Linked DNA regions of Lepisosteus oculatus. The protein of the gene in region 1 purifies or fractionates together with the protein of each later gene. This does not show direct contact. Links are inferred from orthologs where the notes say so. Each region holds a gene or a part of one and is shown in the gene's direction. Other genes may lie near its edges. The genes, in order: mapk4; FAST kinase domain-containing protein 5, mitochondrial.

Region 1 (11,932 bases):
TAGGTTTCGAGTGTGCTTTTTAGTTGTTTACTAGATGATGTAATCAGCAGAATTTGTAGCGGTCCCGTTTCCAGTATACTTGGTAAAGTAGTCAAATTCACTCGTGATCCCAAAATAAGAGGAACAGCATATGCTGGAGATTCTGCAAATAAAATTAAAATAGAAAAGACTAGGCAAAAATGTGTTAAATCACATTTAATGTAGACAAGTGCAGGATTGTGTGCAGGTAGCAGAAATATAAATTATAGATATAAGATGAGAAAATCTTAAGTATGTGTGTTGACACTTGATTTAAAGCTTCTAGACAATGTAGAGAAGTAATACAGCGAACATGTTACAGTGTATAGTACAAAGTATGGGGTTTCAGTCAAGGAAGGTTATGTCAGTGTTATGTTAAGGAAAGAGGGTGGCTGGTGCAATATCATACTCCAATGACATCCTCCTCATCCTCATCCAAGGGTGGATCTGAAGCAGGGGATATCTCTCTCATCACTGGTGCCAGCTTTCTCTGGCAGGGGTAGTCTGGAGTCAGATCCAGGCAGCGCGATATAAATTCTGTCCCTTCAAGAGGCGAAGGGCCAACACCCAACACCAGGGAGCTGTCGTGACAGGATAAGCAGTAGGGCTGCGAAGTACTGATGCAGGTGCTGTTGCCTTGTTTGTGACTTAATACCAGTAACACTAGAGACTGTTTCCACACAGAAATAAAGAGATCAGGTGAAAGCTGAGATCCTGTCATTCTCATTGAAATAAAAGGAAATGGGTTAAATTGGAAGTCTGGTGTGAATAATGGCGGATGTGCCTTATGAATTATTCCTTACAGAAAATGAAACGGGAAAATAGCTGGATATTCGAAGTTCCATTTTCAACAAAATATTAAGTGTGTTTTGCTTCAATTTATGCTTCTGAGAGTTGGCTCAAAGACGCACACTTTTGTCCTTAAACATAGGAATGCAGGAAATATATTGAATTCTTTGGTTTTATACCTATATTGGGAAAAAGTGGTCTCCTAAAAAAAATAGTTAAAAGTATTATTCAATCATGCAGCTTCGTCACCCTCTTTAAAGTCCACTTCTTTGTCTCTCTTGTCTTGTGAGCTGTTAAAAACAAATTTGAGTGCCAATATCTGAAGAACCAGGGAAAAAAAAACTAAAGGAAGCCTTTCTGCCCATCTAGCGTGTTTGGTAGTTAGTAGTTAATTGATCCAAGGATCTCATCCAGACGTGTCTTGAAAGAAGTCAACGAGATGGCTTCAATCAATTTGGCTTCAACCGCACGGCTGAGCAGCTTGTCCCACACTCCCACAGTCCCTTTTGTGAAGACGTCCCTCCTGATCTCAATTTTAAATGCACTTTCCTGTAATTTCCACTCATGTCCTCCAGTTCGTGTTTCCTTGCTCATTCGGTGGAACAGGAACCAAAACCTGCCGTCAGAAAGTGTTTAGAAAGACTGCTTACGGATTCCTGGGGTGGAAAGCTGGCATTCCTGGCAGCAAGTGACTTTCACATTTGTCCTGCAGTCGCCTCCCCCAGGGATTGTACTAATCCCTGCGCTGTGAGAGGTGACAAAGCCCCTGAGCTGACTAGCCCCAACGTTAATCTAGCATTTAGTGTCATTAAATACTTTTGGACGGTCTGCAGTTTTCTGTGCCATTGTGCAGACAGGCATAGATCTGATTTTAGCAGCGGTGGTGCGTGCGTGCTCCGTGGGATATGATGTAACACGAATCGCTCCCTAGATTTCGTTTGCTGATGTCCTGAGCTCAAAATCCAACCAAAGCCACAGATGCAGGGCATGCAGGACAGAGATGCTTGGTGGTTAACTCTCGTGCTACTGGACTGAATTCTCTGTCAGGTCAGTGCTATTTAAAGTGTGGCAAAGAGAACAGAATTAAGGCAGCAGTTTTGAGTGATGGTTCAGATTCTGGGACACGGCTGTGGTACCCTTGAGCAAGGTGCTTCACTCGAATAGATCACCTTGAGCAATTCACTATCAATCTTTTTTGAACCAAAAATATCACCTGTTAAAAGAAAAGTGTTATGGTTTTGTTTCTACAATAACAGGAGTCCTACAGTATATGCTGTGAACCTCCCATACAGTACAGACTGCTGGACCAGCTTTCATCAAATGTTCAATTATCTTCTGAATCACCTTCAAATGCAAAATCATATCTGTACATCTGTACATATCTGTCCTCAAATCGCAAGTGAGCCATCTTGGCTGATGAAAGAACCCTGAGAAACAGCTATTTTGACCATATGAGGCAGCTTAATGCATAAATGTGAGCGTATTCTGCCTATGGGCACTTCCTGTTTCTTAGCAACATGTAGATAGAAAGGCTTTGCATGAGGTGAGATATACTGTATGTAAGCAGCAGGCAATGAGGAGATTTCTCTTTCCTGTTGTAACAGAAACGGCTGCCAAGACTCTATCACAACACCTACACTCTCTATTAGCCTGTCGCTCTTGTAATTACAGCTCTCTTCACATCCAGGTGCTCCTGCATCAGCCTGTAGCACAGCTGGGGAGGAACTTTAGACCTGTCAGAGGAGGACCAGTCAGGAGTTGTCTATTTGGGGGTTAACTAGTCACAGGTTGACCAGTCGGGGGTTAACTAGTCACAGGGTGATCTGTCAGGGGTGCCCCAGTCACAGACTAACCTGTTTTGGTCCTCGGCAGAAACCTAATCTTTTCCAGGAGCTTTTCTGACTAACACAAAGGCCCATCAAGACTAGGCAGGCTATTTTTAAATGGACAGGGAGAATACTGTTGAATTAGTATCAGGATATTCTCCCGGAGAGCAGTTCTGCGGAAGTAGGGGTTAGGAGAGCTGAGTTGCTGTTCAGGGACCGTTCTGGAAAACGGTTTGTGGTCGGTCCTAGTTGACATTGCTAATCTGTGAGTTTGAAAAATTTCCACAGGCACCCCTCACTCTGTGGAGAGGTTAGGTGAATGACCCAAGAACAGGCTGGACTTGCCTGGAGCAGAGTATTGTAAAGAATACACGCTGGACAGCAGTTAAAGTAAGTTTAAAATGGGAATCATCGCTTGGCACTTAACTAGTTAGAAAATATATAGCATTACATAACGTAGCATACATTACGTAACATTACATGTGTACAAACAACAAATATCTGAGATATTTATACATTATTTTTTTTCAGTGTTAGTACTTTAGAATTCCTTATTTAACGGAAAAATGTGCCTTTGACAGCTTAAAAAAGAAAAAATCAAATCTAGTCCTTGAATCTCAGCATTGCCCTGCGATTAATAAAATTAGCATCACAAGCTGATTTCACAAATTGCGTCACCTTTGGTCTAAAACACAGGTCACACAGATCCCACTGGGAAGGTTTTCTCTGTGTGTGCTGCCTGGAGAACTGTCTGGAGTTTGTGGTTTGTGTTGTCAATTTTATCCTGATTTGTAAAAGAAGCTATATGAATGTAAACACAGTCCAGTCGGGAGAACCTGTTTCATCAACTATTTATGAGTGACTGAAGCTCATATTTTAATTACTTTTTAGGTTTTTGGCTTCACTTGTTATAGTGGCTGTATCCATAAATTCATCTGCTGGATGGGGAGCAGAGAGGGGTAAAGAGAGAGGGACACAGCCTACCCTCTTACTGAATGAAGCTCTCAAGTCAGTGGAACCTGAGAAAAGAAGATTGTAAGCACAATGAAACAGCAACTTGGTAAACTGAAAAATTTTTGCTATTCATGGAATGTGCTTGCCAAGTTAATAATTATCAATCACGTTTCTGGCTGATGAAACTTAAAAATGGTATGTTAGCAGTATGATAAGTTTAAATGAGTCTTTTCTCCGGAGTCAGGTGTATGAGTGGTATTATGTGCATTCCTTTGTCTGAGTCTCTTGCATTCATAATAAAAACAACCCCATCACTGTACAGCAGCCCTCAAGTGTTTGTATACCAGATTGTGAGATGAAGCTCATATACAGTAGCTCATGGATCTTAGGGTCACAACAAATACAGTAAAAACAGAGAAATTGTAACACTAGCTTACTCGCTTGGTCCAGAACAGAATCCTTAACAAAACTCCTCTAATAAAAACAAAATTGATCTTCCAGCTTGAAAATAAGGCCAATGAGAACAGGAAGAGTGTAACTGCATATATACTGCAATGGAAAACACCAACCTCAGGAACAGTTCAAGAGAAAAACCCCACTCTTAAAAATATTTGGCAAAATATGGGGATGCAATTCAAGGAGAAAAACACCATAATTTATTGACTCATGTGAAGGTGCATTTAATTGTGTGCTTTCAATGGAAGGCAGAATGCTTTTTGTCACTCTATTTGGTATTTCATATGCACCTGCTCCAGGCATTTAGTAACACAACATTAGCCTTTACACAGAGCACTTCGGTTTCAAAACCTGCTGCAGAGTAAGTTGCAGAAGTATTCTCGTGATGCCCTGCACTGTGCACTTACAGTAAATGACATTAGAGCTGGAATTCAGTTGCATTTCCTTTGGAAAAGATCAATAAAACAAAACATATTGAGTAAACATGGAAACCCTGCTTGGATTAAACACTTTCATGAAAATATGTGCAGGTATTTTTATGGATCGAGCAAATCCCCTTGTGTTCGTAGAGGGCTCTCTTACATGTGAATCAATTGTGTCTATACAGTCTTTTTTAAAAACCAGCACGTACATGTATTCTGGTTGCTAAGGAATTGGTTGCAATGCTTACAGCTGCGTAATTCAGTTTTATTTTCTCATAAAACTTAACCGCGTGGTTTCTGGGAGGGTCCTGCCTTGTTGGAGTGAAGGGTGACTTTGAGGCCGAACAGAAGAGCAATTGGCAGTTATTTCTGTGATCAGAGCAACGCTACATAACTGGGGATACAACAGCACATCTTCTCCCCTTATCTTAACGCAGACTTGCAACAGGGGAATTTTTTGCAGCGTTATGTAATCCCATTCTGTGAACTGTCAAGGCAAATTAGTGTGCATTCAGCAACCAAGACTCCAGCTGACATTCATTAAAAGCAGAAATATTTAGGGACCGAAGAATTATGGGAATTCTAAAGGATGAAAAGGTTCTTGACTTCTCAGACTCTTTTTTAATAATTCCCCCAATCCAAAAGCATGACAAACACCGAACCCAAAGCATCGGGATTCCCTGATTGGAAAGTCACTCTTCCTGGTGAGGAAACCAGTCCTGGAAGTACGGAGCGCAAGGCAGGGCAGAGAGCTCAGGAGCGCTCTCACTCTGGACAGGACATCACTCCACCACAGGGCAAGGGAGAAAGGGGCAACTAGCTGATCAAACGCATCCTTGAGACAGAAAATTTTTAAAAACACACACTGGGTGGGGAACCTGCAAACTCCTCAAAACAGTTCTGAGGCCAGAATGAAAGCCTCCATGATTCTGACCACCAAAATCCAACGTGTTTCATGTAGGCATTTACTTTAAAACTTTCTTCTGTATCTCTTAGGTGAATTAGCTGCATCGGCAATATCCAGTTTAGAGGTAATGATCTGAGCCTCACAAGCTGTTTTAACTTATGGCTTTCATTTTTCCGCCGAAAACGTTGTGTGGACTCGGCTTGCACCCCGCCTTCTCTACCACCCTACAAGAGGAAATCTAAAATAAAGTGGAAGCCCTTGTGTGCTCTGTGAACGAGCACTACCCGGTTTCATTCACCGTGTATGTCAAGTGCTTATTTCCGTGTAGATGATCAAGTGTGCGAGAAAGCAATTTTCTGCCCCTGCTCAAAACATTCTGAGCTGACTAGAGGAAAGTGGATGTCTGTTGCTCGTTGCCACTCATCTCGTAGCCGAAACGAAGTGGACTCCTTCTGTCCTGTTCTGCGGTCGCTGGATTGTGCGCTCATAAATCACTTATTGAGACTGATCTCAAATGAGTCCGCTGTGTCATAGCACATCTCTTTACCCGCCTCGAGTGAAATACAGGTGTATATTTTATTTTTGTCGTTTTTAAAGTCCTTTAAGATAAATTAGGGTATTTACGGACGGATAAAGGACTGCAAATACATTTTCTATTACAATTGAGTAATTGCTTAACACGATTGTGTTATTTTCTGTTCCAGCCTGTCTACCGATAGATAGCCTCTCCGATCGTCCCTGGCGGCGGTTTCAGAACGACACCAGAGGGGGGCGCACTGGGGGAAGAAGCGTGCAGGTGTTACCCCTGTGGCTTTTTAAGGCACGATACCACAGGTTAAAGGCAACATACCAGTGGGGAGAGACAGCATTTCTTTCACAAAATAAAATAAATATTGGCACCCGTCGTACTAGACTGAGAGCCTAACTAGATTCTTCTGGAGAGTCAACCGAATTTACTGTGAATTTCCAAAGAAGAAACAAAAGACTGAACTGCATTTTGCGTGGGGATTAAGATTTGGTTCTTAAAAGTACTTCTTTTTCATTCATTTCGTTCATTCATCGGTGAAGGGCCAGTGTCGTTCATGCACACCCCGTCGATAAATAGCACCTGCTTTCCAACTCCGCGTTAGGTGAATCTAGCGTTCCCGCTGCCCTGTGCACCGTGTGCAGTTGCTTGAGTCACTGACAAAAGGCTCTGCTATTTCAGGAGGCACCGTGCAAGCGTCCAGCATGGTGGACCCGAGACAGGAGCGGAGCAAGCGGCTCGGGAATGGGGCGCCAAGAGAAGAGCTCAGCGCTGCGGCCGCGGCAGGTTAGCAGGTGGCCGCAGGCTGATCGACGGGCTTCACGCTGACGTCACCGCCGTGGGGGCTGAGCTCTCGCAGAGGAGTTCCGAGCAGGGGGGGGGGGAGTGCGAAGCGAGATCTGGAGCTGAGCAGGTTTTGCGCTATCGATGACATTGTCTGTTTTTAAAGATAACCCAGATTAATTCCTCGCAGGACAATGATGAGCATATCGCTGGTTTAGAACGGACCAGGCGCCCTGTGCTCCAGGTATGTATATGTATAATTTTGCAAGATTGTGTTACTTTCTGTGCACAGTCTGCGGTAATTGTAGTGTTAAAGGGCTTTCTTTCTCTTCTAAGTGCCGCTTCTGTGCGTGTTCTGTGATGGTGGGCTTCTTCAGACATGGACAGAAAAATAAAAAGGGGTTGAATTCCGAGCAACGCTGTGTGACCGGTACAGGAGCACAGGATACGCGCAACTTGTGCAGCAATTTCATAGTGTCTTTTAGAAAATATCGTCTTCCCGTTAGGGTAATGTGTCAAAGCCTTTTATCCTGTAACGGATAGCACAGTGTTGCAATTTGCACAAAGGGTACAATTCGCATCGCACGTAGTAGCGTTCGTTTAAGTTGATAAATGTCGTTATTTCTCGTCAATGTTGTGTTTGCGTCTTTCCAGTCAGCGAAAATACGTTAAAGGAGATCCCTCTTCAATATTACATGGCATATGCATTGTTTATGTGGTTGAGTCATGTCTGTCTGTTAAATATATTCGATCACAGTTTCATTCAATCGAGTCAACATTGGCTTTAAGGCATTATATAACGGTAAAGATAATAACACTTGCCATTCGCCATACGGATATGCATAATTTATTAAGTCTCTGTCCTGTGTTTACAGAGACGGTTCTTTCTCTCACTTTTCAGAGTTCGTGCAGTCACAGCAATACAAACAAAGCCCGTTATGAACTATGTCACAGCAATGACGCTGAGCCCATCCTTCCTATAGAATTAGCGACTGTTTTGTATGGAGAAGAGAGGCGCCCGTGGACTGGAAAGCCGAACAGGACTGAGCGAGAATTGTCCTGAAGTAACCTGCTCGGCGTCCGGGAATATTCGAGTTGATTTTACAGAAGCCGCACTTCGCTGTTTTAATTGCTTGTCCTGCTTCACCTATTCATATGAGCATAATGCAATATATATGCACCTAGATGCTGTAGCTACAGCACCGCGGTCTCTTGATTTTCTGTATTTAACGGCTCTGGTCTAGTTGCGACCCGAAGGGATGTTCAGCTCTGTCTGTACAGGCTTTGCAACGTAAAAATCAAAGGTGCGTTATGATGCCAAATCACAGCGACAACTTTCTTTATAGACCTGTTCATGAATTCCTATTAGAAATCACTTTCTCGCAGTGGCTATCTGATTACCTGTTATGCTTTCTTGTACGTGCCGAGAAAGTATTTAGGTCCAGGAGTGTAAAAACAGATACTGTACGTGTTATATCGTTTTTTCCCCTATCCATTCTCAATGAGCACCTCGCCTAACATGAATCAGTGGCCAGTGGAAGTGACTTCTGGGATTATTTCACACTGTAAAATGGGCGAAAGACTTCCACCTAGTTGCTTTCATGTCCTGCCTCTGGATAATTTAAGACTTTTAGGAATTTTCAGGGGATCTATGCGTTTGGATTGACAGATAACTGTTACACTAAAAACAAAAGTATTGCTAGGGTGAAAAACATTAGGCTGCAGTGAAACAAATAGCAGAGTACCACAAGGATCTGTGTGAGGTCCTTTGCTTTTCCTGATTGATGTCCATATTCTAGATTGTAGTAGCAAACCTGTTAAATTTGGTAGAAAGGTAAGTGAATATTTTGGTTGAGAATATTAACAGACCCAAATGGGCAAAGAATTTGGGTAATGCTTTTATTTCAGCAGATGCCTAAAAAAATGGAATTTAACATAGACTAATTCAAATAACTATTCAATAAGGGCACTTATACATTTCATGGAGCCAGGAAACTGCTTACAGATATTGTTTTTTATCCGGACAATGTGGAAAAGTAGAAAAGTTTGTTATTTAAATGAAGGTAAGTAAAGTTACATTGTATAATAAGCACTAGTTAGACTTCTTTTGAAATAGTGTTCATTGTTGGCCACTGCATTCCAGAGTGAAAATTGCTGCTTTAGCAAGAGCTCGAACGAGATTATATTGGAATGATTCTTTGTCTGAAAGACTTGTTATCCCCTGACAGCTTAAAGAAGTTGCTTCTCGTTTTAGGGATGAGGCAGTTAAATGAGGGTTGGATTCAGGTACTATAACACAATAAACTAAACCCAGAGGAGTCTTGCTGCCTCAGTAGAAAAGGAGAGAAAGGTAAGTGCAGGTGCACTCAGGACTGAGGACTGCTGACAGTTCTTTACACATGATACTCTTGGGAGCACAGTGCCCAGATTTCTAGGATGTTTCAACCAATGGCAGGATGAGAGCTGTGGTTTAACGTGATGTTGGCCACCAAGTTAGCATGATGATCTAATGAAGGCCGTTGAAACAACTCTATGAATGTCCTTCGATACCTTGGCTCTGGGAAGTAATTCTTAACAAAATGGTTTAATGTTCCTCTAAATTTGGTTTCTGTCCAGTTTTTGCCCTTCCAGTAAGCCATGGATTTGTACCCCACATGAAACGGTGGTCCAGGTTGCTCAGTATGGGTGAGCTGAGAAATTACAGATCAGTGATTCTGCACCTTCTTCTCTGTCCCTGAGTTTCATGTGCTTTTCAGACCGCACTGGACGTTTTACCGAGTGGAAAAAAAATTGGTCTCATTTGGCTGGCCTACTTATCACCTTTTTTCGTCTTTTCACATTTCACAGAATGTTCTGCAGGCCTAATGTGAATCAAGATTTAAGTTTGTTTGTTTTTTACCAGCTTCTTTCCTTGACATCTATGCACGGAATTATTTGGCAAGTTCTCCACTAGTCCCTCAGGCTGCTGTTGTTCTGCAGGCCCAGGTGGTTTATGAGGGTCTGATTTCCAGGAAACAGCCTTAACACAAATTCACAGTGCAGTGGTCAGATATGATCAACATGCTGGAGAAACACTTGCAGACCTGATCCATTGTGTCGCTGCCTTGTGTTTGATGCAGAACTCTCGAAGGGCATATATGATCCACTTTTCAAGCACAAAAACACCAACCAACTGAGCGAATGCATCTTAATTCTGCAATGAGGGATAGTGGGTGGTGAGTTTCCGAGATGAATAAAGTGAAGGTGAAGAGTTGGAAGGGGGAGGCTCTTCTTTTATTTGGACAGTTACTGTGCACATCAAAAAACTGCATTCTGTTTGCCTGCAAGAGTCAACCTGAAAAAGACAATGTGGGGAAACAGTGTTCAGGTTCTGATGCATGTTGCTTGATAGAGGAACTTGGGCCTGAGTTGGGTTTGAGTTGTCGTTGGGTGAGATAGTTCTCAGCTGTGTGAGCAGCACACTTTCCAGAGCTCACAGATCGCTGCTCAGCGTGTTCACTGACAGGGCCATTCTGACACGGTTGCCAGACCATGTGATAATTTCTGTTTTACACCAGTTCGTGCTTTCAGTGTGATTAGACCCCTAGATGTTTTAAAAAAGTTTTGCCATGGATTTTAGTTTTCATTTTTAAACCAATTTTCAGTTGGCATTATCTGTGAAAGATGCAAACTGCTCATAATGGCAGGATGTATTTACAAGGCAAATTTAATAAAGGCAAAAATACAATGTGTTCATTTCGGCCTCTCATTTTGTCATTATTGATCTCTTCTGCAGACTGGACTTAATGGGTTTCTTCCACTATCCAACTATATTCCTACTGTATCTTTCTCAATACAAAATGTCACATTTTTATGTTTTTATTTTCAGAAACTCGGATGTACAGATGGAGAAATCAATCACAGTGACAGGGAGCACTGAGTAATATAATTTAACCTAGGTTATTATAACACTAGATGTGACAGATTTTTTTTTTAATAAAAAAAGGTTGTCCTGAAAGAACTGATTCACCATATTAAATTCCACTCGTGGTGGGGGAATGATAAAGGAAACCAAACAGAAAGCTCATCTATATTGTGGAATATGTTTAACTCAAATCTGTTCAAACTGATCCCTCAAATAATGCTGATGAAATATTAAATGTGTTGACCTAGGCTTCATCTTAGCAGCCAGAAAGCAAAAAGCACAATGGTTATTTTTGTCTTGTTTGTGAGCTTCTTCAGATGTCTCTGCATTGAATAGGATGCACCAAAATGGGATTAATCTGGTTACAATGGACAGACTTTACTGCCTTCTATTTCATAAGAAGGTGGGTTTGGGGGGTCATTATGATTAACGTATTGTAGAGCAGAAGTGACATTGTGTTATGTAAGTTTGGGTGTTTGGGTTTTCTGCACTTTGGGTCAAAAGGCAATTCATATTCCATAAACCTAAAATTGACTGTAGATGACGAAGCTCTTGTGAGTGGGCCTAATTGCTCGTCAGTCAGAGAAAGTACTTTGTGATTCACTGCATGGACCACTTATTTTGTTAATTAAATGTACTATATAATTGTTCTATCTCATAATTCTACTTTGCACCCTACTTTCTTGGAATGTAATCAGTGCTGCCATGTTATATTCGTGATTTGCGTGGTCCTTGATAAAATTGGAGACTTTTTCAATTGCTCAGGTCCCGATAGTAGCCCATTGCACATACTGTATCAATGCCTTGCTTCTGCTGTTTTTGCATTCCAAGGTCAGCTAGACCTGCAGTGTATTTGTTGTGCTCCTCACTAGAAGTAATGATCAGTCTCTGCAAGTATGAGGAATGCAGACAGTATGTCTAATTTTCATAAGTTCAAGTCTCAGCAAAGACCTACAAAATGCAGTAAATGATCAGCAGATTCCCCCTGTGGATGGAAAGCTGTGGCACTGGGACATAGGATCAGAAGAATGGTTACACAGAAGGGAACATCTAGCCTGTTTGATAGTAGTTAATTGATCCAAGGATCTCATGCAGGCTTTTCATAAAAGAAACTAGGTTATCGATTTCAACCACAAGGCTGGGCAGCTCATTCCAGTCTCCAGCCACCCTTTGGGTAAATACATGCCTCCTGTTCTCAGAAGCAAGATGAAACAAAAGTTCTGAGACTACAGCCTGCGTTTTGAAATGTGCAGCACCATTGTTCTTGCTGTTGTGTCTGCTGGAGCCAACTTCACACCTTCATGGTTGGATCACTTGCTGTGATTTGTTTAGACCACAGCAAATGAA
Region 2 (11,787 bases), about 60 Mb from region 1:
GGGCTGTGTACTCACAGTGTGCGATGTCACTGGCAGGGATGCTTGTTCGAAACAAGCATGCGGGCTTTCTCTGTGAAACAGGGACCCTTGTGATCTCCCAGGAGCCGGCAGCGGGATGAGAGAGCCGTGACGTGGTGGAGGAGCCTGTCTGCCTGTTCTCATTCCTCGTTCCGGACAGGGGTCATCCCTGTGAGTCGAGACGTACGGACACCGCTGGCGATTCCAAATGATAAAAACATAGAGTATAGAGGTGGTCCCAGTACAGCCACCTGTGGTACTCCACTAATTATATCGCTGATATAATTAAGAAGAGCATTGGTCCGAGTACAGCCCCCTGTGGATCTTTTTTACTCAGTGTAGTAAGATACATGCACAATGTAGCTTGTTCAAAGATTTTTTAACAAATGATGTAAACAAAATCTATCTTATTTAAATCCACACAATCTCCCAGGATTTCATTCTTATACAAATGATCTTTTATGGTTACCATAACTTTACATGTGGTATAAGTAAGACTTACTTAAGTATAAGTAAGGCTTACTGTATAATCAGTTAGTTCAGATTAGTTTCTCTTTATAAGGATGGGCAGTATATTAGCTATTCTTTCAGTCAGATGACATTATATGTCTTCAATGACTGATGGAACAGCTTTGCTAATGGTCTGTAAATAACGTTTCTTTGTTCTTTCTGTCTCTGATTTACTATTGGAATGAGCTTCACGCAGACTCTGTCGACCCCGTCCCTCTCCATGCCCTGCTGTCTCCATCCCCCTCCTGTCCTTGCCTGCGTCTCCTGAGCTCTGTCTCACTCCTGTGCAGTCTGCGCCCCTGGAAGTGCAGGTCTCCAGCTGTGCAGTGCAAAGTGCACTTGAAAGCAATATCATATCCTGATCACAGTTCCCTAGAGGTTCTCTTGCCTGTGTTCCTCACCCTGAGTTGTCTGTTTAAATAGACGAGAGAGGTCAAGACAGAGTGAGGACTTTAGCTGTTCACATCCCTGAAAGGTCTTCCCAATCCGTGTGAGGAAAACTAAAATCCCCCATGAGCACCACCTTCTTCACACACACGGTCCTAATTCATTCTACAACATTGACACCATGGACTCAGCTGACCCAGGTGATCTGTCTCCTGCCCCTCATGCTGTGTCTCTCAGGTGTTTTCTGTGCGGTCCGACCCAAACGGACTCCGAGCTCCTGGGTTCTCCAGGTTCGGTCCAGCGCTGAGAGCTCTTTTCTGCTGCCAGCTTTACTCCCCCCATCTCAATCAAAGCTGACTCTGGAGTCTGTTTGTCCCGTGTGGCGCCCTGGGGTGTGTGTGAGGGGCTGTTCGGCACTGACCCGCGCTCCCTCGCCCCCACAGGTCTCTCTGCTGCGGGACAAGCTGGGCGTGTTCGAAGCAGAGGTGCTGGGACTGAAGCAAGCGCTGGTGGAGCTGGGGGGGGCCGGGCGGGCGGCTGTGCCCTCCCCTCAGAGCCCCCCGGACGGGCCGCCGCCCCCCCAGGCGGACGCCCTGCTGAGCCTGCAGAGCGACGAGGCGAAGGCGCAGCGGCAGGCCGAGGCGGGGGGGCTGCGGCGGCAGCTGGAGAGGCTGCAGGGCGAGCTGAGGCTGGAGAGGCAGCAGAGGGAGAGGCAGGCGCTCAGCTTCGCCAAGGAGCGGCACACCTGGCAGGGCGAGAAGGAGCGCGTGCTCAAGTACCAGGCCCAGCTGCAGCTCAACTACGTGGAGATGTACCAGAAGAACCAGGCCCTGGAGCAGCAGGTGGGCCAGCTCAGCTCCAAGATCAGCCTCCCCTCCCCGCCCACCAGCCTCCCGCTGCCCCCCCCGCCCCCCCCCGAGGACAAGAAGCCCTCCCCGCCCCAGCTCACCCCGCCCTGGGGCGGGCCGTCCCGTCTCGAGCGGATCGAGTCGACGGAGATCTAGCCGGCCTGTCCCGGGACACGGCACCGCTGGCGAGGCAGCGCCGGGCTGCAGAGAGCGCAGAGAGGTTGGGCCGCGCGGACCGCGCCCATCCGGGGACAGAGGAACTGGCACTGACGCTCTGCTGGCCCACTGGAGCTCATCCATTTACTCACGCTGAGCCCACTGGTGGCACCTGGACTGACACGCTGACTGGAGCTGCTGCTGGCGGCGTGCAAACTGGGAGCCTGACACACTGACACGGGAGCTGCAGCTGTCCAGCCTCACTCCTCCTGCGGTCTATGGCCTGGGAGAGCTCCCTGGCCCGCTCGAGGCAGATTAGTTTTGGGGGAGCTGTTTGTATTCCTCCTTCTAAATCTCTCATCTAAGGATAATGAGGGCTACGGTTTTGAAATTGAATTTACCTGAGCTGCAGCACTGACCCCTGGTGCTGATCAACTGCAGGCAGCGGGTCGGTCCGTTAGTACTGAGGCCTGGCGCCGATCCACTGCAGACAGCAGGGTCGGTCCAACAGTACTGACCCCCGGCGCCGATCCACTGCAGGCAGCGGATCACTCCAGGAGCACTGAGGCCTGGTGCTGATCAACTGCAGGCAGCGGGTTGGTCCGTTAGTACTGAGGCCTGGCGCCGATCAACTGCAGGCAGCGGGTCAGTCCAGGAGCACTGAGGCCTGGCGCCGATCCCCAGATCATCACTGAGATGTTCTCGTACTATGGAACACAGGTATTTCCTCAGGGATGCCTCTCAGATATTCCAGGATTAACAGTGAGGTGTTCCAGTAGAAAATACTGACTGCAGTTGCAGGGCAAGAAACTAGTATTTGAGTATGGAGAGCTTAGATTATTACAGTGTAGGACACTGAAGTGTTCCAGAAGGGAAAACACAGATATTCAGTACAGATCATCGTGGTATGCACAGCTGAGATATTCTTGTGCAAATCTGTGAAATATTTGAACATGCAGATATTTTGCAGGAGCATAGAGAGGTATTCCAGTAGAAAATTCCCAGGTGGAGGTGTTCTGTATCTCTGGATTACAGAACGCAGTATGACTGTGTTCCAGAGCACATCTCATTAAAATGATCTGGAACAGAACACATGACCACGTTGTAATGATCCAACTTGATAAGTCAGCTGAAAATGAATTGCATGAGGTCAGCAGTGTGGGGAAGTGGCCAGGGCTCTGGCTTCAGTGGCTTTGAAGACAAATATCAAGGAAATAATAATCCTGGGGTGATATGAGAGTAGACTCACGTCGTGCTCTGAGGAGCTCAGCTGTGTTGTGTCCTGCTGCAGTTCGCCCTGGACTCCCTCCCCTGCCCACCTCGTCCACCCCAAGCTCGTTACACACACAGACCCCCTCGCCACTGGTACAAGAAGAAAAACCTCTTTCCAAGTAGCTGCCATTAAACAAAGTAAAGTAAAAGTCCCTGAGCCACCCTTTACATGAACATTGTTTGCTTCAGCTGCCAGGGTGCAAGACCACAGAGGCACAGAGTGCCTGGCCTGAGAGGGGCAGCATGCTGCACCACCCCCTCTGCTGGTAGGCCCGTGTCAGTGCACACCTGCTAGCGCCAGCCCCCAGGAGCAGACAGGACCTGGCCCGAGGAGAGATTGCGCCTGTGCAGTGGGATTTGGCTCCTCTCTGATAAGTGTGGACTTCAGTGCCAGCAGCGCGCTGCTGGAGAAGATGGAGAGCTGGCTGACCAGCCGAGGGCTCACCTGCGCACACCTGGACTGTTAGTGACCCTGGGAGCCGAGCCGCAGGAGCTGCGATGAGGCTGCGCTCCTCTTCAGATAGAGCATTTTACTTGAAAACCACCTTGAAATTCTCTGTTTCGAACAATCAGAAAAGGTTTAAACAAAAACTGGATCTTCTGGTGAAATTCTAAGAAATGGGGAGTGAGAAGATTGTATATGGACTCAATTGGACAAGAAGGGTAAGCTGGTTCAATACAGTGAAAGAATTCATTGAGTGAAAGAAAGCAATTAGGGGCTTAAAGCTGAATTAAAAAAGCTGTGAGCCTGGAGACCTGTGGACAGCTGTGGTGGACAGGAGAGGGAACGACCCCGGACCCCCCAGAAACTCGCCACCCCACGCAGCAGGTGAGCGGAGGGCACAGCAGAGGGAGTCGAACTCGTGCCATCAAAACACGCTGGAAGATAATCGATCTCACAAACTCCCGCTCTGAAAGCCACAGCAGCAGAGGCCCAGTGGTCGACCCCTCTGGCCTGAGCAGCTGTGTGCCTGTGTGCTTGGTGGGGCAGCAGACAGCAGACAGCAGACAGACAGACGAGCAGACTTGAACAGGGGGCGGGAAGTCCCAGCAGTCACCGCCCCGAAGAGCCTGCCCCATTAAAATGAGCAGTTTGGCACCTGTGACACAACACCAAGCCCAAAATGGAAGAGGAACAACTTCAGCCTACCTTAACCTTGTGCATTACGCACGGCCTGACATATATGCCTGCTACTGGACAATTGTGCTTAATTAAACTGCTCATTCTAATATGGCGGGGTTTTGAGTAACCTGAACATGATCTTAGGAAATCTTGGGCTCCTGAAAATGTCCGTGAATCTGGGAATGTGGGAATCCTGATGGTTTGAGCCCTTCCTGGACCCGGGGTGGAGTGGCAGGGGTGGGCAGAGGGCTGGGGGGGAGAGTGGAACAGCATCGAGTCGGGAAGGAGGAAGAGGAGGGGACTGACAGAGGTGGAGAAAGCAGGAGAGAGACAGAGAGGCAGTATTGCTTCACAGGTCCCAGGACTGCACAGAGCCCCACAGGGCTCCTCGGGGCTGGTCAGGAACCCACAGGGCTCAGTGTGGTTTGCAGGACGCTATAGTGTCCACAGAGTCCATAGGTGTTTATAGGATCCACAGGGAGATATAGGCTACACAGGGATCTGTATAGTGCACAGATCGATACAGGCTACACAGGGAGATGTAGGCTACACAGGGCCCAAGGGATACACAGGGCACTACAGGCTACAGCAGGGGTCCGAGAAGAACCACAGGGTTCCACAGCAATCCACAATGTCCATAGGTCTCTGTAGGGTCCACAGGGCTCCACAGAGACTATAGGTCTCTATAGGGTCCACAGAGCTCCACAGAGACTATAGGTCTCTATAGGGTCCACAGAGTCCACAGGTCTCTATAGGGTCCACAGAGCTCCACAGAGACTATAGGTCTCTATAGGGTCCACAGAGCTCCACAGAGACTATAGGTCTCTATAGGGTCCACAGAGTCCACAGGTCTCTATAGGGTCCACAGAGCTCCACAGAGGCTATAGGTCTCTCCGTAGGGTCTGCTGAGTGGGAGGAGCTGAAGCTGCACTCCACCAGTGTCTTTCTCCTCTTTAGACTTGCTGCTATGTACTTCTAGTAGAACCTGAGAGAAAAGTGTACTTGGATGTAAATATCATTGTTATCGATGTGTACATATATCTATAATGGTATTCCAAGATATTGCGTGTGAATAATTTAAGAGGATTATTGTGAATTAATTAAACAGACACTTCAGCTTTTATTTTTTAAAATATATAAATATATATCTTTACTTTGGGTCTACTACATGGTACAGAAGAAATGAACATATCCAAACTCTGTTCATGTGTTTCCTTTTTATTATTGTTGTTATTGTAATGTCTGAAGAAAACAAAACGCTTCAATGTTTTTTTACAATTCTTTTTATTTATGTTAAGAACTGTAATTGCTTGATTGAAAGCATACTCTAGCTATAACAATAAACCAATAAATACATGAAAAAATACATCTGAGCATTCTACTCTTTCTAGAATAATCTCTCAATCTCTCCATGGTTACAGGCTCAAAGGGCAAGCACTGCTGACCACAGGTAAAGAGGTCCAGGACAGATGTGCTTGTAGCTCCAGGACATTTCTTGTATTAGGAATTTGTCTTTTCACATACACATACCCCAACTTGCTCTCCATGAGACACACAGACAGGGAGAGAGAAGCTAAGGGTGAAAGTGCAGGGTCAGTCATTCATAAGGCACCCCTGGAGCAGCTGGGGTGAAGGGCCTTGCTCAGGGGCCCCTTGGAGTAAGATTCCTTACAGCCACAGGCGCAGATCCTGAGCCACAGAGCCACCACTCCACCAGCACCAGATAGGAGCAGAGGTGACACCATGGTTATTATGTGCGGAAGACAAACCCAGAATGAAGGGCAGTAGTGGAGAAGATCTTATAACTGAAGACCTGTTCCCCTTGACACATTAGTAAATACAAAGCTACTGCAGACATGCTCATAAATCCAAGCTTCAGTGCCAGCCTTGTGATTAATGTGCTTGAACTCCTTTCCATGGGCCCCAGTTACCTCCCGCCTGTGCGGAGTGTGTTGCCAGTCTGCAGGCTCTCCTGACTGGGGAGGTCGTCCACATGCCTTCAGCTACTGGAATCAAGGAGCAATCCCCCGTCCTGGGCTTCAGTCTGCCGTTAAACAGCCTGGAGATGGAGATGCAGAATGAGAGATCAGCATTCTTCCTTGTTAGAGCTTCACAATGGTCACAACTGACGGGAGACCACGTGGCTCAGCTACTGTAGGTCACTTGGTCGCTAGTATCCAGGCGATCAGAGGATCCCAGCCAGCGGTGTCTCGACGCAATCAGCAGCATGGCAGCTTGTTCCACACTCCCACAGCCCCTGTAACGCTGGGGTTCCTTCAGCGTGTGACCATCCTGAGCGTGAGGACTGCGCAGCGCGTCCCTCCTGCTGGACTCCTGCTCTGGACCTGAGCACCTCTAACTCAGAACCAGAACTGAAACCCATAGGAGATGTCAAACACTTCCAATCCTGCATTCACAAAAGCTCACTTAAAAGCAGCGAGCCAGTGCAATAACAGAAACCCTATTGTTGGCCAAAGCCTGCACTTCGGTCTCGCTCACTTCTTCCTGGTTCTACAGCAGCTTCTCCCACCAGGGCCCGGCTCCGGATCTGGGCTGAGGATCGGAGAGCAGGACAGTGCAGCTTTCAGTGTGCAGACTGGAATAATGAACATGATGGTTTGTCTGAACTCAGTTATTTCCACCTTAGTATTGCAAAAGATGTCAAGGACAATACTTCCCAAGCAGCTCTGTAGTCTTACCCTGGCAGAATTAATTGAGTGAACCCTGTCACTGGCACAGCCTTCCTCTAATCACTTGCATTTCTCATACACATGGAGCATATTGAGGTAACCAGTAAAAAAATCCAAACACTAATATCATAATGGCTTTATAAAAGCAGGGACAGATTTCCTTCTAGCGACACAAGTCAGAAAAGATGTGAAAGATTATTCTGCTTGTCTGCCGTGAATTCCGGAGACATCTAGTGTCAGTGTGATACTAACTGCGCATGCTTTCCTTTGTTTTGAAAAACGCGTTACAGCCAGTCCCCGGGTTCTGTTTGTCCCTCCGGGGGTCCTGTACGTCATCGAGTTCGTGACCTTTGTGCGGCGGCCGGTGAGGTTTCGGCGAACTTGCGGATCCTGGACTTGGAGGGGACTGCGGGTCTTGGCTCAGTTGCAGCGTGTCCGGAGAGGAGGTGGGTTACTTTGGCGGGGCTTCGGTACCGGGGGCTCGGGCAGGTGCGCACCCCACATGGTCCCGGCGCGTGTTTACTGCCCGGAGGCAGAGCTGGTCAGCCCAGCTCGGGTGCGACATCTGCTGTTTTACTTTCTCCGCTGCCCCAGGCAGAGCAGCAGGGGGTCGTCGGTGTCTGGGTGTGAAATCTCACACGGGCTCTCGCACGCCCTGTTTGTCCTCCGCCAGGTCCGCTGCTGGAAGCCGTGGACCGCCCACGGGTGAAGGAGGCGACAGAGAGGGTCGCAGAGTTTAGTTTAGGGCTCACACGCCGGGTGTCGGACAGGGAGACCGCTGTGACTTTGGGAAGCTCGGCATCTCTCCGCTAGCCGCTCCTTCAGAGCGTGTAGGAGCCGGAATTAACACAAGGCTGTGCGGTCAGGCCGGGAGCCCCTGAAGCAGTGGTTGGCGGCGCCCTGGGCAGCGTGAGGAGCGAGAGGCGGTGCCCGGCCTCCACCTGGCTGTGAAACAGCAGGGCGCAAGTCGCGGTGTGGAGCCCTGTCGCCCTGTCTGTTACAGAGCTGGGCTCGTTAAATACGTCCTTCCCCTTCTTCTCGCCACGTTAACTGTAGAAGACACCGAGCGCAATCCCGTGTATTTCTAAGAAAATAGCAAGGCTAGTAGTTTAATTGACTATTCGGGTTGGACTTAGAACCAAAAGTCTCTCCAGTCTGGTACACCTGCTGGTAACAGCCATACACACCCCACAGCACCATAGTTCCCATGAGTTTAACATCTTAATGCGGCCATACTTATCGCAAGCTACCCAGCCTGGCTACTTTCAAGAAACAGCTGGAGGAGATCCCTGGATCGGTTTGTAGCCAGCTACTCTATGAGCGAGATCCCCTTCATTTCATCTTCTTGCGGAGCACAGTGGATTGGATTCAGTCAGCACACTTATACTGAGAGGCAAGGACTGTTTTCTTGCAGCGATTGTATTCTGACTCATCAGTAGGCTTTTAGAACTTTTCTTGCGTGTGTTTTTTTTTACATTGCCTTATAACCTGATCCTAGAAGCTGGGGCAGGCTGGGCCTGGTTAGTACTGGGATAAAAGACCTTCAAGGAAAACTTAGCTGTTACTGTAATGGTGTTGGTGGACCAGAAGGTGGCACTCTTCAGTCTGAACTGGAATTTCCAGTCCAGTTCAATGGGGAGTGTTATTCATGGTGCCCGGGCTGAACTCCACTTGTACAGTCTGGTCTCCCTTGACCTACCCATTAATATACCTGCTGCAGCAGTTTCTCTCCTCCCCACAAACTGTGTGCAGTGAGGCTGCTGGTGCAGAATGATCCCTGTGTGTCTCCCAGGTGGGGCTGCTGGTGCAGAATGATCCCTGTGTGTCTCCCAGGTGGGGCTGCTGGTGCAGAATGATCCCTGTGTGTCTCCCAGGTGGGGCTGCTGGTGCAGAATGATCCCTGTGTGTCTCCCAGGTGGGGCTGCTGGTGCAGAATGATCCCTGTGTGTCTCCCAGGTGGGGCTGCTGGTGCAGAATGATCCCTGTGTGTCTCCCAGGTGAGGCTGCTGGTGCAGAATGATCCCTGTGTGTCTCCCAGGTGGGGCTGCTGGTGCAGAATGATCCCTGTGTGTCTCCCAGGTGGGGCTGCTGGTGCAGAATGATCCCTGTGTGTCTCCCAGGTGGGGCTGCTGGTGCAGAATGATCCCTGTGTGTCTCCCAGGTGGGGCTGCTGGTGCAGAATGATCCCTGTGTGTCTCCCAGGTGGGGCTGCTGGTGCATAATGGCCGCTGTGTGTCTCCCAGGTGGGGCTGCTCTTCAGACAGATGAAGTTGGTTCATTCTCTATGTGATGCGTTTCAGGATTCTTCAAGTTGAAAAATGTAACATTTTTTATTGTCATTATCAAATGAAATGTATTCTTTTATTTATAATAGTAGGGCAGTTTGTATTTTAATTTACTTTCCTGAATGCGCAGGAGTCCGAATGCCCCGCTGAGGCTCCTCTGTTCTCGTGGGGACTTGGGGTGTCCTGGTGTCCCCCTGTCAGGGCTTGGCAATCTCAGCTGCTGTGGACGAGTGTGTGGCCGAAGTTTGTGTCTCACAGTGGCGTGTGTGTGTGTTGCCGTGCAGGGGACAGTGTGGCGCCTCACGGTGGCCTGTGTGTGTCTTGCCGTGCCGTGCTGGGGGAGTGTGGCGCCTCACGGTGGCGTGTGTGTGTGTTGCCGTGCAGGGGACAGTGTGGCGCCTCACGGTGGCGTGTGTGTCTTGCCGTGCCGTGCTGGGGGAGTGTGGCGCCTCACGGTGGCGTGTGTGTGTTGCCGTGCAGGGGACAGTGTGGCGCCTCACGGTGGCCTGTGTGTGTCTTGCCGTGCCGTGCTGGGGGAGTGTGGCGCCTCACGGTGGCGTGTGTGTGTCTTGCCGTGCCGTGCTGGGGGAGTGTGGCGCCTCACGGTGGCCTGTGTGTGTCTTGCCGTGCCGTGCTGGGGGAGTGTGGCGCCTCACGGTGGCGTGTGTGTGTGTTGCCGTGCCGTGCTGGGGGAGTGTGGCGCCTCACGGTGGCGTGTGTGTGTTGCCGTGCAGGGGACAGTGTGGCGCCTCACGGTGGCCTGTGTGTGTCTTGCCGTGCCGTGCTGGGGGAGTGTGGCGCCTCACGGTGGCCTGTGTGTGTGTTGCCGTGCCGTGCTGGGGGAGTGTGGCGCCTCACAGTGGCGTGTGTGTGTTGCCGTGCAGGGGACAGTGTGGCGCCTCACGGTGGCCTGTGTGTGTCTTGCCGTGCCGTGCTGGGGGAGTGTGGCGCCTCACGGTGGCCTGTGTGTGTCTTGCCGTGCCGTGCTGGGGGAGTGTGGCGCCTCACGGTGGCCTGTGTGTGTCTTGCCGTGCCGTGCTGGGGGAGTGTGGCGCCTCACGGTGGCGTGTGTGTGTCTTGCCGTGCCGTGCTGGGGGAGTGTGGCGCCTCACGGTGGCGTGTGTGTCTTGCCGTGCCGTGCTGGGGGAGTGTGGCGCCTCACGGTGGCGTGTGTGTCTTGCCGTGCCGTGCTGGGGGAGTGTGGCGCCTCACGGTGGCGTGTGTGTGTGTTGCCGTGCCGTGCTGGGGGAGTGTGGCGCCTCACGGTGGCGTGTGTGTCTTGCCGTGCCGTGCTGGGGGAGTGTGGCGCCTCACGGTGGCGTGTGTGTGTGTTGCCGTGCCGTGCTGGGGGAGTGTGGCGCCTCACGGTGGCGTGTGTGTGTCTTGCCGTGCCGTGCTGGGGCAGTGTGGCGCCTCACGGTGGCCTGTGTGTGTCTTGCAGTGCCGTGCTGGGGCAGTGTGGCGCCTCACGGTGGCCTGTGTGTGTTGCCGTGCCGTGCTGGGGGAGTGTGGCGCCTCACGGTGGCGTGTGTGTCTTGCCGTGCCGTGCTGGGGGAGTGTGGCGCCTCACGGTGGCGTGTGTGTCTTGCCGTGCCGTGCTGGGGGAGTGTGGCGCCTCACGGTGGCGTGTGTGTGTCTTGCAGTGCAGCGGTTGGATGGCGTGGTATGTGCTGTGCCGGAGGCTGGCTGTCCCGCGCCGCCCTCGCCTGCCCGTGGTGTTGTGGACGCGTGAAGACGGGGACACGGGCCCTGGCCAGCGGAGGAGGAAGAGTGCTCCCAGAGAGCAAGAGGAGGAAGATGAGGAGGAGGAGGAGGGAGAGCTGGTGGGCAGACCCTCAGCTTGGCTGGAGTACAGGGTGCCCTACTGCCCCTCCGCCTACCACCTGCCCTCGCCTGGCAGAGCGCCCTCCCCTGCGGCAGGGGAGCCAGCGGAGGAGCCGGACCCCCAGGGCGCCTGGCAAGGAGGGAACCCCTACAGTGTCAGCTGCTCGCGCCGCCTGTCCAGCTCGCAGAACACCCTGCTGGACCTGGCCTTCAGCCCGGCTCGGGCCGGCCTCGGGCCGCAGCAGAGCGCCCCCGCGCGGGCGCCGGAGCTGGACTACGACAGCCTGGAGGACCCCCGCGCCTTCCAGAGCTCGCGGCCGGAGTACCGGCAGCTGTGCCACGACCTGGCCGAGCGCCCGCCCCCGCTGGCGGCGCAGCGCGCCTTCCTGCTGCTGCACCGCGTGGCGGTGCTGAAGGGCGGCCTGCAGCCGGACGGCGTGGCCGCGCTGCTGGCGGAGCTGGGCCGGCTGCCCCCGGAGCTGCAGGCGCCCGTGCGCGGGGACCCGCGCTTCTCCATGCTGTGCCGCCTGGCTGCCGAGAGCCTGCCGCGCTTCAGCGACGCCCAGCTGCTGGACGTGCTGCGGGCCTTCGTGCGGCTCGGCCTGCCGCCCGGCCACAGCATGCTGGCCCTGTACGAGGCCGAGTGCCGCCGCCGCGCCTGCCAGCTGCGCCGC

The links.
Region 2: the proteins of mapk4 (region 1) and FAST kinase domain-containing protein 5, mitochondrial purify together in Homo sapiens (affinity purification with mass spectrometry; 3 studies listed by BioGRID and IntAct, with this or other methods). This does not show direct contact. The link is inferred for Lepisosteus oculatus from reciprocal best matches to the Homo sapiens genes MAPK4 and FASTKD5.

What each region holds. Positions count from the first base shown.
Region 1 is NC_090698.1:15,053,267-15,065,198, reverse strand, and holds the start of mapk4 (mitogen-activated protein kinase 4), read left to right. Parts: upstream 1-6,434; 5' UTR 6,435-6,925; intron 6,926-11,932. UniProt on the Homo sapiens protein: Atypical MAPK protein. Phosphorylates microtubule-associated protein 2 (MAP2) and MAPKAPK5.
Region 2 is NC_090698.1:74,605,894-74,617,680, reverse strand, and holds the start of FAST kinase domain-containing protein 5, mitochondrial, read left to right. Parts: upstream 1-7,290; 5' UTR 7,291-7,450; intron 7,451-10,937; 5' UTR 10,938-10,944; coding exon 10,945-11,787. Other genes in the region: lzts3b (leucine zipper putative tumor suppressor 3), read left to right, coding at 1,359-1,919. UniProt on the Homo sapiens protein: Plays an important role in the processing of non-canonical mitochondrial mRNA precursors.